Caenorhabditis elegans: one gene and its partner. The protein of the gene in region 2 interacts with the protein of the main gene of each other region in a pairwise test. Each region holds a gene or a part of one and is shown on either strand. Other genes may lie near its edges.

Region 1 (7,846 bases), on a different chromosome or scaffold from region 2:
AAATTTTTTGTTGTCATGTTATCTCAACATTTTTCAAAATTAGTGTTAAAATATCGAAAAATTACTTGATTCGTCTGAAAATAAACTTCAATTTAGCTAAAACATTTAAGAAAGCTTTTAAAAATGGCCTGAAAATTGCCAGTATCCGATTATCGAATTATCAGATTTTTTGTCTAACAATTTGCAACTTTCCCACCGATTTTGAGCATTTCTTCAAATGTTTCAGCTAAAAATATGTTTCATTTCCAGATAAATCGAGTGATTTTCGATATTTTGACACTAATTTTTAGTGAAAAACGTTGGAACAACATAGCCCAATAATTTTGTAGAATTGCCGGAAATAATAGCCCTGTACCTGTAAATCAAAATCAATATTCCCACCTGTGACACATATTTTTCTGAATAATTTTTTGATTCATGAAACTTTTTCTTTAAAATAATTAAAGCATTAAAAAAAACTCAAACTCGCCAAAACTCCCAAGAAACTGTCCAGGCACCCGAGAATCGCGCCAACGCCCTGCTGGCGCGATTCTCGTGCAGTGGCAAATCGCAGAACGCGCCAAAAACGGATCCGAACGGGTTTGAATCAGACGATGACTCATTTTTTATTGTTTTTCGAGTTTTATTGATTTTTTTTAATCGCCAAATGTATAAATCCCCCTAAAATATACACAATTTTCCATGTGTCACTTTGAATTTTCGGATAAATGATTGAAAAATTAGATTTCTCTATTCAAAATTTAAAATTCATAACCTTGAACTCATTTGTTTCGTTTTCTTCGCTCCGTTTTCTGATTTCTCATGAATTTTTGAAATCTCTGTTCATTCGAATTCTATTTTCACATCTTATTTTACTTTCTTGCAGAAAAAAGTGACGAAGATTTTCGGTGGAAAAGTTTCGTGAATTCTCACCGCTCACCCCAATCCATCTTCGACTCGGACATCAAAAAGAGCTAAAATAATGTCGAAAAAAGCGGTAAGTTTGAAAAATGTAGCTTCAAATAATTTAAAACTTTTACGGCCAAATAAAAAAAAACACTGTTTAAATTTGCGATTTTCTTATTTCTTTCGGAAAAAATGCCGCCATTAATTAAAAACAAATGGAAAAAATTTGAAACTGTGAAATGTTGAATATTTCGGAAATTATGTTCTGTTCAGCACGACTTCTGCCGATTTTTTTAAAAAATAAGAATCTATCGATCTAAAAATATACTCTGTATTTTATTTTTCACTTATAAGACTATAAAGAGGCATATTTCTGCAAAATGGACTCATTTTTGAGGTTTTGTTGAAATTTTCGAAAATAGAGGGTTTCAATACCATTTTGCATAAATGCGCCTCTTTTTAAACATATAAGTGGGAAATAAAATACAAAACATATATTTTTTACAAAATTAATTTAAAAAATTTTAGAAAACAATTCAGATTTTTACGCTTACGAAGTAGAGCCGCGAACAATTTTGAACTCGAAATAAACTCAAAATTGATGATATTTGAAATATCATTTCATTCTTTTTTTTTCTGCCGAAACTTCTATGAAGAAATGCGCACATGTATGTGTGCAAACCGACAAATAGGCGGAGCCTGTACAAAAACGGGCGGTCTATAGTTCTTCTCACTCCGTTTTTGTGCTGTATACAGGGAGAGAGAGTGACAACTCATATCATTTAGTTTTAGATAAGAATTTTAAATTCTCAAGTTTCACTCTTTTTTTTATTTTGAATTTCTGATTTTCATGCAAGATTTCTTATATCATTTTACTGAAAAATTTTAAGCTAACCTCTTCATATCAATTGGTCCAGCAGTTCAAACTTGTGGAACACAAAATAGAAAAATGGTTGCGGCCGGCGATGTAAATTGTTAATTGAAAAAATTTTTTTTAGAAATTTAAGAAAAAATATAACGAAAAATCGATTTTATTTTTGCCTAATCCAACTATTTCTTGTTTCAGATCAATGTGCGTGTCACCTCGATGGACTCGGAGCTCGAGTTCGCTATTCAGTCGAGCACCACAGGAAAGCAACTTTTTGATCAGGTTAGATGATTTTGTTTTATTATATTTAAAAAGTACTTTTTTTATTAAATTGGAGAATGGATAAATTTTAATAATTCAAAAAAAAAATCAGAATTTTCTGAAACATTAAATTTTCACTAACCATTAGAAATTTTAAATCAAAACGATTTAAATTTGAAAAAAATAATCCAAAATTTCCAGCTCTTGAAATTGAGTTTCGAATTTTCCAGCAATATTAATTCCTTCATTTTAATTTTTGCAGGTTGTCAAAACCATTGGTCTCCGCGAGATCTGGTATTTTGGACTTCAGTACACTGACAACAAGGGATTCCCAACATGGCTGAAATTGAACAAGAAAGTCTTGTCTCAGGACGTTAAGAAGGACCCGACTCTTGTTTTCAAATTCCGCGCCAAATTCTATCCGGAAGATGTGGCCGAGGAGATTATCCAGGATGTCACTATGGTATGTTTGACACCTTTTTTTAAATATTTAATTTTTTGGAAAAAAAAAACTGTAAATTTTCCATTACCTCTGGCCAATATTTGATTTTTAGTTGTAATTCTCACTTTTCGCTTTTCTGACATTCTCTGGCGACTCTCTTGATTTCCTGTGCTATTTCTGATTTGTAACTGATAAGTAGAGAATGCCCGTGCCATTTATGCATGTAATGCAATGTTGGCAAGCAATAGGAAATAACTTTGGAGTATATTCAAGAATAGAAAAAAAGGGGAAAATTTTGGTAAGGAATACATTTCTGTGGTTTTAGAGTACCTTCTTACAAGCTGGCCTGCTTAAAAAGACCCCAAAACGACCAAATTTCAAAATGAAATTTCTCAAAAAATGCCCGAAAATGAATTAAAGCAGTGAAAATTCTGAAAAAAATCCGATATTTTTTCTGTTAAAAAAATCCGATATTTTTGCTAAAATTAGAATAAAGTTTTTTATGCCAGTGATAATTCAATAAAATGGCATTCCGATTTAGGAAAATTTGGCTCTTTTTTGAGAATTTTGGCTCGCTATAAAGAATTTTTGAATTTTTTAAACCAGTTTTATTTGAGCAAAAAAAACTCTTCTGCTCAAAAATTTCCACGGCTCATGTGCTCACAAGGTCCTCAATAAACTGCCTAAAAACAAAATATTTTGATGGTGACAAGTGTAAACATGGGCATTTTCTCCCTTCCGTTTCAAAAAAAGGTTCTCCCATTGAGAGTGTGGTTTCCGATTACCTCCGAGCCACTTTTTTGTCTCACACAAAAAGAGATTGTTTAATGGTTTGTAAACATCGATGGGAAGACACTGTGTGTGCGAGACTCTTTTTTTGAGAGGAGAAATGAGCATCCTATTAGAACCTCCGACTGCGAACAGGAAATCTCTGATCTGGGTGGTCTGTTTTGTTTGAATAGGATCACAAGATCAGTTGAAGATTTCAGTAGAATAGCTATTTAGTACCTATATGCAAATTGATTTAGTACCTATATGCAAATTTAGATCAGTTGTTAAAATTAATGTAAAAATTTCTTTTTTTTTTAAATATAGAAAAATACTTTTATTTCTATGAAAATAACATTTTTCAGTTGAAACATTTGAGAAAATGCACAAAAATGGTCTGAAAGTTTCTAATTCACAAAAAAACCTTTTTTGAGCACTTTCTCAAATGATTCAAAAATATAAATATCACTTCCGGTTAAGTAAATTGATTTTTTCTCTTTTTTTTAGATTTCCAATAATATTTCGCATTTGAATTTGAATAGATAGACTGACTTAAATTCTGTTCCGATGACTCATATCAATGGAAACAATGAAAAAACTCTCAGTTTGTTGCTGTCTCTTTGCTCTTTTTATATTCATGTTCATAACTGACATAAAGAGGAAGAGGAGAATGGCATGTGTGAATAATCAAAAAATGATTCAAAACGATAAATATGAGGGGAAGAGAATATAAATTGAACTTTTTGCAAAATTTGCAGAATTTTTTGTTTGGAAGAGGGAACAATTGGGTTTCAGAATCATTAGTTGAAAATGGAGTATGGTTTTTTAAAATGTCAGAAAACAATCTCAATGTACAGAACATACAGTTAAAAAATTATGAAGTTTTTTAACTGAAATTAAGCCTTAATTAAATGAAAATATTTTCAGCGTTTGTTCTATCTCCAAGTGAAAGATGGAATTCTGTCAGATGAGATTTATTGTCCACCGGAAACCTCTGTTCTTCTTGCCTCTTACGCGATGCAAGCTAAATATGGAGACTATGTTCCAGAGACACATGTCGCCGGATGTCTTACTGCTGATCGGTGAGTTTTTCTTGAAATTAGCTTTTAAAAAAATTATTAATAACTATTAAAAAATATCTTTGCGGTTCAAAATTCCAATCAAGATTACTAAAATAAGAAAAATAATAATTTTCTGCGATAATTCATTTTTAATTATGTAGTGAAATTTCACAGTATCACAGTACTCATACAATTCATAATTATCACATGAAAATGAGATTAGAATAAAGAAGGGAAAGTTCCAGATCTAGATGATCAATAAAAAAGTATATAATAAGAAGTAGTTAAAAAAAAGTAAACTTTTTATATTAAATGCCAAAAATAATTAATTATTTCATTCCAGTCTGCTTCCTCAACGCGTTCTCGGACAATTCAAATTGAACAGTGAGGAATGGGAACGCCGTATTATGACATGGTGGGCAGATCATCGTGCAACTACACGTGAACAAGCTATGCTTGAATATTTGAAAATTGCACAAGATCTCGAGATGTATGGAGTCAATGTACTGTTTCTCATTTTTCTGTCGAGTTTTAAAAAAAGCTAATTTCAGTACTTTGAAATCCGCAACAAAAAGGGAACTGATCTCTATCTTGGTGTCGATGCTCTTGGATTGAATATTTACGATAAAGCTGATCGTCTTTCGCCGAAAGTCGGATTCCCATGGTCGGAGATTCGTAATATATCATTCAACGACAAGAAATTTGTCATCAAACCAATTGATAAGAAGGCTCATGTAAGTGATTACTGTCACACACAGTTTGTCGTGGCATCAAGCTTCTATTTGTTGGCAAAATTTCTGCGGAAAAAACGGAAAAATTGTGTGATAGTAGTTGGAAGTGGTGGTGATAAGAAGCAATCGATGGAACATTGAATTTTGATTTAAAATTTTTTTGTTGGTTTTTCTTATTTTTGGGGTGTGAAAATATCACAATCATTGACCAGATGCGGAATGTTGCGATTTTGAGGCAAAAGTATGGTGCCCGGTCTCGGTCTCGACACGACCGAATAAATTTATTTACCAAAATGGTGTGCACCTTTAAAAAGTAGAGTAGCTCCAGGCCTTTCTGATTTCCAACTTCGTTAGATTTTTCTAGTTTATTAATTAATAAAAATTAGTTTCACTAACAAAAGTAAAATAAAAGGTTTTTACAATAAAAATATTTAGAAAAAATCTATGAAAATTTCAAATCAGCTCAACGGTAACTACTGTACTTTTTAAATGCGCACATCCTTTTTCATTTAAATTTATTCGATCGCCTCGATATCGAGTAATGTGTTTTTGTATCAAAAATCGCAAATTTCGAGATGGATGGAACATTTTGTGGAAATTGAGTTTGTTGTAATTTTTCTGAACATTTTTTCCCCGATTTTTTGATTTTAGAAAAATCGAAAAAAAATTCTTATTTTCGCTGAAAAAAAAATCGAAAAAATGTTTTTCATTATTCGTCTTCATTTTTATCATTAATTTTCAGGACTTTGTCTTCTACGCTCCACGACTCCGTATCAACAAACGTATTCTTGCTTTGTGTATGGGAAATCACGAGCTTTACATGCGTAGAAGAAAGCCAGATACCATTGAAGTTCAACAAATGAAGCAACAAGCCAGAGAGGATCGTGCTCTTAAGATTGCCGAGCAGGAGAAGCTCACCAGAGTAAGTTGCGGAAATTTTTGAAACATGTTTTTACAAATAATTTCTAAAAAAACTTTCACTCAAATCTGTTTTGATCGTACAGGAGATGTCTGCTCGCGAAGAAGCCGAACAGCGTCAACGTGACGCCGAAAAGCGTATGGCTCAAATGCAGGAAGATATGGAGAGAGCTCGTCTTGAATTGGCTGAAGCACACAATACAATTCACTCATTGGAGGCTCAACTCAAGCAATTGCAATTGGCTAAACAAGCATTGGAACAGAAGGAATACGAACTTCGTGAGCTCACTGCTCAACTTCAATCCGAAAAAGCAATGAGTGATGGTGAGAGACGTCATTTGAGAGACCAAGTTGATGCTCGTGAACGTGAAGTTTTTTCGATGAGAGAAGAAGTCGAGAGACAGACTACTGTTACAAGACAACTTCAGACACAGGTATTTTTTATTTTTGAAACTAAAATAGAAACAAAAAATTCTCTTTAAAAAAATTATTTTAAATACCGTATTAACAATTATCGAGCAGTAATTTTCAGTCTGAAATTACTGTTTTAAAATTTTAAAATGAAAAAAAGTATGCAGTAATTCCTGAAATTAGTTGATTACTGTAACAAAAAAGCTTAATTTAAAAAAAAAATTTGCAACAATAAAAGAGATACAAAAAGAAAAAACTAAAAAAAATTGTGAAAGAATAAAAAATCCGATCTTTAAAAGCGAGATTTTTTAATTGTACGCAGTGATGTTGCAACAAAAATTTCGGCCAAAAAACAAACAAATTTTGTTTAAAATTTCTCCAAAAAACCAACAAAAAAAAACAAAAATGTTCATTTTTCGTCATACCAACTAAAACATAAAATTTTTGATAAACATTTTTTTAAATGTTTTCTTGTCCGAAAAAACCAAAAAAAACGGAATCCCTGATTGTAACTCTGGATTTATTTTATTTCAAAATTATTTTTTCTTAAATTCAGATTCACTCGCAACAACACACTCAACACTACTCAAACAGTCATCACGTTTCCAATGGACACGCTCACGATGAGACTGCCACTGATGATGAAGATAATGGAGCAACTGGTATGCCTTTTTTATTTATTTAAAATAATTGGGAGAGATTATGAGAAAAAATATCATCTTCAAATTTTATCTTCCAGAACTCACAAATGACGCTGATCAGAATGTGCCACAACACGAGTTGGAGCGTGTCACAGCAGCCGAGAAGAACATTCAGATCAAGAATAAGCTGGATATGTTGACTCGCGAGCTTGACAGTGTTAAAGATCAGAACGCTGTCACTGACTACGACGTTCTGCATATGGAGGTTCGTATTTTAAAAAAACTCGTTTTAATGGATGGTTTTAGAGAATTTAGCATTCAAAATTTACAGTAATTTTCTAGAACCTGCATTTTTTTCATAAATTCAAGTTTTAAAAAATATTTCCGGACTGCGATCAAAATACAATTTTTTAAAAATTAAATTTGGAAAAAAACAGAAGAACGCAAAAATCTTTAAAAAATATCGAGTTCCGGATTATTTTAAAATAAAAAAAATCATTAAAAATCATTAAAAAGCCATTAAAAACAAATTTTGCTTAAAAATAATTTTATGATATTAAAATTGTTTGAAGTACAGAAATTGAGTTTTTTCGGTGTTTTCTGTTTGCAGACAAACCGAAAACATTTCTGAAAACATTCCAAACTCGGTATTTCCTTTACGGAAACAAGCAACATAAATTTTACTTATTTTTGAACAAGTTTGACCCTAAATTTTTTAGATTTTTTGAGCGAAACCGAAATATCGAAAAACCGAAAAACCTGCCGGCCCGATTCCAAATTTTTAAATTTTCAGAACAAAAAGGCCGGACGCGACAAGTACAAGACTCTCCGTCAAATCCGTGGAGGAAACACAAAACGAA
Region 2 (5,251 bases):
ATAAAACAAGATTTCTGAAAATAAAATTGCCAAAACTTATTCACAACTATCGGTACAACTTGCAATTGTTATAAATTATAATCTTTTTCATTTGCCTATGACGCTAATAAAAGATCAAGCATGCACATTAAGTGGAAAGTTATATCGAGTTGCAACCGAAATTTGAGTTATTGCTTTTATTTTTTGCTTGCAGAGCAGTGAAAAAGAAAAACGAGAATGTGTACTTGCGATTTGAAAAATATGTACATAAATCAGTTTTCCTAATAACTCTGAAAAATAATTGTTTTTCTTTATTAGTATGGCATGAATGAGAAATTTTTGAAAAATTTTAGAAAAGTTAAAAAATACTAGTTTTCATTTTCTAGAGGTAAAATTTTATTATAAAAATAAGGTCTATTGAAAAACAAACTATGAGCCTAAATAAATTATTCAAAAGTAGACCAAAACATTTTCACAAGTGAGGCTGTAAAGTGCAATATAAATATTTACTAAAAGTTTATGAAAATTAACACAAAATAGAAATGATGATGTTATCAGGTGTTTCTTTGTGATTTTCCTATAAAAAGTTGAAAACCTGGAAGGGTTTCTAGAGCAGTGTTCTATTTTTTTTACACATTGGTTGTTTGTTTTCAATGACCTGTTAATTCCGAATAAACAGTAGTTTTTGCTAATAGTCAGAATGTATTCTTTTTAATAACTGTTAAGAGCAATATTTAATTAAATAGTATCTTTTTTTGTTCACATGTTAGATTAAAATAGGAAAAAAGTTCAGATAAAGATCAGAGGAGCATTGAACGCAAGTTGAACATTTAGATAAATACCAAAAACATTGTTGGACAAAGCAAGGCATTAAAACGTGTAGGAAAAACAAAGTTCGTTGAAAGAATAGGCACATACAGAATGAAGACAATCGGGGTATAGTGTGTGGATCAAGAGCTAATCGAAACAACTGGACAATATAAATAAAATGAAAGAGAAATGAGTGGTGGGGGGGGGGGGAGGGCAATACAGCCAGTACTCTAATATCGACGGTCTGCTGTTGTAATTTGCGTACGGCTAGATTCAAAAACCTGATAGCTGGGAGTGTATGTTCTTGGTGCTGCAATTTCTCCGCCGCGGGCCCTGGAAACGAGATATGGTGCCTGGTAGTGGTCGAATGAAACATATAATTTGTTGGTTAGACCAGTACAAATTATTGTCCTAGGCTATGTAAATTCGGTGCGAAAAGTGTAATATAATCGATAAAAAGATCAATGATATTATAAAATCCAACACGAATAAGATCAAATTTCGCAGACTTTGTTGCTGTCTGTTATACAAAGACTGATCCTTGGACAGGTCTTCTCACCTGGACAAAGTGTTATCGTATCCTATCAAGATGCCTTCCGAATTTCTCTGCATTTCCTGCAACATTATTGTTTCTTTATCTTTCACCTGATTTGTAGATTGTTTCATTTTGTTCAACATGCTAAATGTAAATAAAATGCAAAATAAAATGAAAAAATAAATTAAGAATATGTATATACATTATTTATTAATTGCAGTCTTTCCAAATTGAAACAAAACCAAATGCGAATGCAAAACCAATAAAAAAATGAAATCGAGATTGACAGGTTTCATATTGAATATTATTACAAACTTGCATGTTAGTATCAAGGTAACAAATGTGTGTATTGTGTTAGAAACGTATAATTGGAGGCTCCCAAAGAGCAGGGGGCTGAAATTAGTTAAAGCAATTTATAACAGTTGCTCACAGAATTAATAGCTTCCACTACTGTCACTATACTCTCTGTCAACTTTCACACTAACATTAAATCCTTTGGCTGGTTGAATGTCAAGACTCTCATTCATTCCATGAAGTCCTACGAAAATCTTATAGATCCAGGCTCCAATGATCGAACCGATGAGAGCACCAACAATTGGAATCCAGAAATAATATCCATGAGCGCTGAAAACTTCCCAGCCATATCCGGCACAGAGGCAGAAAACGCGTGGTCCGAAGTCACGAGCTGGGTTGATTGCAAATCCGCCGTTAGCTCCAAAAGTCATTGCGACCTGCAATTATAAAATTATAAAACTTTTAGTGAGATGTGTACATTAAGTGCATACCATGCTCATAATACTTCCAGCAAGAACAGGAACAACACCGGTCGGGATTTGGTGGCGTTTATCAGTGATAAGACAGACCAAGCCAGACAGCATGGCTGTTCCAATAATCTGCAAGAGAGAATGTACTTGATGTATCATTAAATCAGTAGGTGTTATGTTATATCCGTCAGCAACCTCAATTACTCAAATTGGTCAATGTCATTTTTTGATTTCTGATCAGCAGTGTTCTTGAGAAAAGCAGAAAAGGAGCGTGAAGTGTTCTCGCGTTTAATTCTTATAATTTGATTACAGAAAAGTCAATCAGATCTCGTTTTTTGATGATCGACAAAACCAAGTAACTCAAACCACTGTCTTATGTAGTTTATGTTTTAGAGGGCGGTTGCAAAAAAAAAAGTTGAACCGATCTGTCAGCAATTACCAAACGGATCAATCATAGTGTGTCGCGCTTAATTTAGATGTGCAATTGAAAGAGAACCGCGTTCCTAAAAACGTCGTTTCGGTCTAAAAATAAACTAACCTGGTCGAGAAGACTTCCCCATACTGACATGTGATCCGGTGGGAACGTGGTGAACAGTCCAGCGGTGGCTTGACCTCCAGTCACCTGACGGATGCCGCCGTCCAGCTTCCACAGATCGTCTGTAATTTGGATAATTTGAAACTGATGACTTACAGAGGATCAATGGACTACATTATATCCCATGTATGGGCCTAACTATGTATAAACATGGATCAGAAGTTGCCAATATATTGGCAAACCTTTGGCAGGCTTGGTCTAGGTTCTCGGCGCTCCAAGTTTATCTTGTGCGCAGTCTTAGCTAAAGGTTTTCCTAATTTTTTTTTCAATATTTCAGATAATTTATTATTTTTAGTCCAATCTTTGACAAGAATCCAGCGCCACAATTATTTCAACCTAATTATATCACTCATAGTAGCAGAAATCAAGATTTCACAGCTAATTCACACAATGCTCACACGAACAAACTCATTCAAACTAACCGTGATGTCCAAAATAGGCAACAGCTGCGCCGAGGAATGCTCCAATAACTTGAGCAATGGCATATGGAATGATCTTCCATGGAGGCAGATTTCCGAGAATGCTTTGTGCGACGGAGATGGCTGGATTCAAATGGCCTCCAGAAACACTGGCGGCAAGATAGACTGCGAACATGAACCCGATTCCCCAGGCAATATGGCAAGACGTTGAGTTACCACCAACTGCTACAGCAGCTTGAATGTTGGCTGCATTTCCGATAAGCTGAAATATAGGCGATTTTCAGATTTATTCCTAAATGTATGAACTTACCAAGAGGAAGAAGGTTCCAATGCATTCTGCTAAGAGCTCTCTTGTGAATTGTTGATCTTCAATTCGCAATATACTGGCAACTTTGTCTTGAAAGACACCCATATCTAAAAATAAATAAATTATAGAAACGGATCGCAGAAAAAAAAGAAATGGTAATGGACGGAAAATGTCCTTATCTAGAAGGCGTGCGCTGATTTTAAATAGGGAAGTGGACACTGTCGAAACTTCAGAATGGGCGGGATGTTACGGTAGGCCCTGATATTCTACTAACACGAAAAATAGATAAAACAGAGGCGGGTGAAAAGTTTTTGGGTTTGGGAACTACTTATCATAATCCAGATTGATTGACTCGCAATTCCAGTATGCAAATTTTGGCAATCATTTTGCGGTTACGCATTCAACAGTGAATCATATACAACTACTATAAACATTTAGGGGTGCTCAAGTTACATTTTCATGGCTATAACCTAATTGTGTCTAAAATGACTTTTGGAAATTTTCAAAGAATTTTTTCGAATACCTTTCACATGACTTTTTTGTATCAAATTCAATTATGCGCAACATCTAAAAGTTCAATTCCAGTTCGGATTCAACTAGTTCAGAGGAATGTTTATTTTTCGTAAGAATAATAATGAGTGCAAAATATGAATTCACACACCGACAGGTCATTCATATTTTTATGCGTTGTCTGGACCAGACTCTGGAATGCAAGTTTGCGCCTTTGCACATCGTGATAGCATTATCCAATTCATAACTTCAATTGTTAGGAATATCAAGTACTAAAAACTATTTTTAATCGTCTTATTGTCCCGGAACTTTTTTTTTCAATAAATTCCGATTCTTCTGAAGTCAGGTGCATGGAATTGAAGCGTCCAATAAAGGTCGAAACCCAAATCAAATGACATTGAACATCAGTTATCAAAGTTGCAGGAAATGGCAACTTTCAAAGATTGCGCAAAAATAGATACCCATCTTTCTTTTTTTTTCTCAATTTATTTTAGAAATCATCAAATTGACTTTCACAAAAATTTAATATAACATGAAGGTCGTTAGAAGAAGTGAAATTTGATTTTTTGGACAGATAAGATAATTTTTAAATCTGGAAACATTTGAAAGTCCCGGCGAACATTTGAGATTCGACCTTAATAATTTATGTGATCTTCTCATCTTGTAGTCGGAAGTTATGATATCAAAAGTCATTTTTCATTATCTTTAATGTGTATTTAAGGTTATTGATAGAAATAACCATTGAAGGTCACATGTAATAACTCAAAGTACAGGTCGTTGAATGAAGATGCAAAAAAACTTTCCAGCCCAATATTAGAATTGTTCCTGATGTTATGGCGGATTCTTGGATATCAAGTCAATCTTGATCTGGTGGCTAACAAATTTGACGAATTTCGTGACTAATTGAGGTTTTGAGGTTGCTGCTGTAGAGATAACTTTGATGAAGTGAAAGATAAAATGCATCAGGAACACACGAAACATCCTTAAGTGGAACACGGAAAAGGATAAGATTTCCATAATTTTTGTCAGCATCTGAAATATGGAAGAGCATTAATTGAAAACTCAAAATAAAAAATAAAAAATTGGTTTTTTGAAAATAATTTTGAAATTTTTTTCATCTTTAGCAGAGGTCATAATAGGAGGCGAGCATCCAATTCAGATAACATCTCTCAATTTATTGAAACGTTTCTAAGAATGCAAGAAACTTTGAAAACCTTACGGAGCAATAAAAATCACAATTTGGGCTCTAATATTTCCCAAATAAATTAAAATAAGACAAAATAAGACAAAATTCTTGAAGTAAATTCGTTCCTAGACTAGACAAGATCGGTT

Evidence for each region.
Region 1: the proteins of aqp-8 (region 2) and erm-1 interact in a two-hybrid assay, tested with the Caenorhabditis elegans proteins (one study listed by BioGRID).

Annotation. Positions count from the first base shown.
Region 1 is NC_003279.8:5,284,624-5,292,469, reverse strand, and holds the start of erm-1 (Moesin/ezrin/radixin homolog 1), read left to right. Parts: upstream 1-1,775; 5' UTR 1,776-1,834; coding exon 1,835-1,852; intron 1,853-1,951; coding exon 1,952-2,035; intron 2,036-2,276; coding exon 2,277-2,477; intron 2,478-4,151; coding exon 4,152-4,306; intron 4,307-4,628; coding exon 4,629-4,788; intron 4,789-4,836; coding exon 4,837-5,019; intron 5,020-5,758; coding exon 5,759-5,938; intron 5,939-6,020; coding exon 6,021-6,368; intron 6,369-6,901; coding exon 6,902-7,007; intron 7,008-7,084; coding exon 7,085-7,251; intron 7,252-7,779; coding exon 7,780-7,846.
Region 2 is NC_003284.9:4,701,455-4,706,705, forward strand, and holds aqp-8 (Aquaporin-9), read right to left. Parts: upstream 3,517-5,251; 5' UTR 3,515-3,516; coding exon 3,413-3,514; intron 3,365-3,412; coding exon 3,106-3,364; intron 2,746-3,105; coding exon 2,627-2,745; intron 2,218-2,626; coding exon 2,110-2,217; intron 2,056-2,109; coding exon 1,810-2,055; coding exon of another isoform or gene 1,759-1,809; exon of another isoform or gene 1,511-1,758; intron 1,405-1,510; coding exon 1,349-1,404; intron 1,123-1,348; coding exon 1,020-1,122; 3' UTR 669-1,019; downstream 1-668.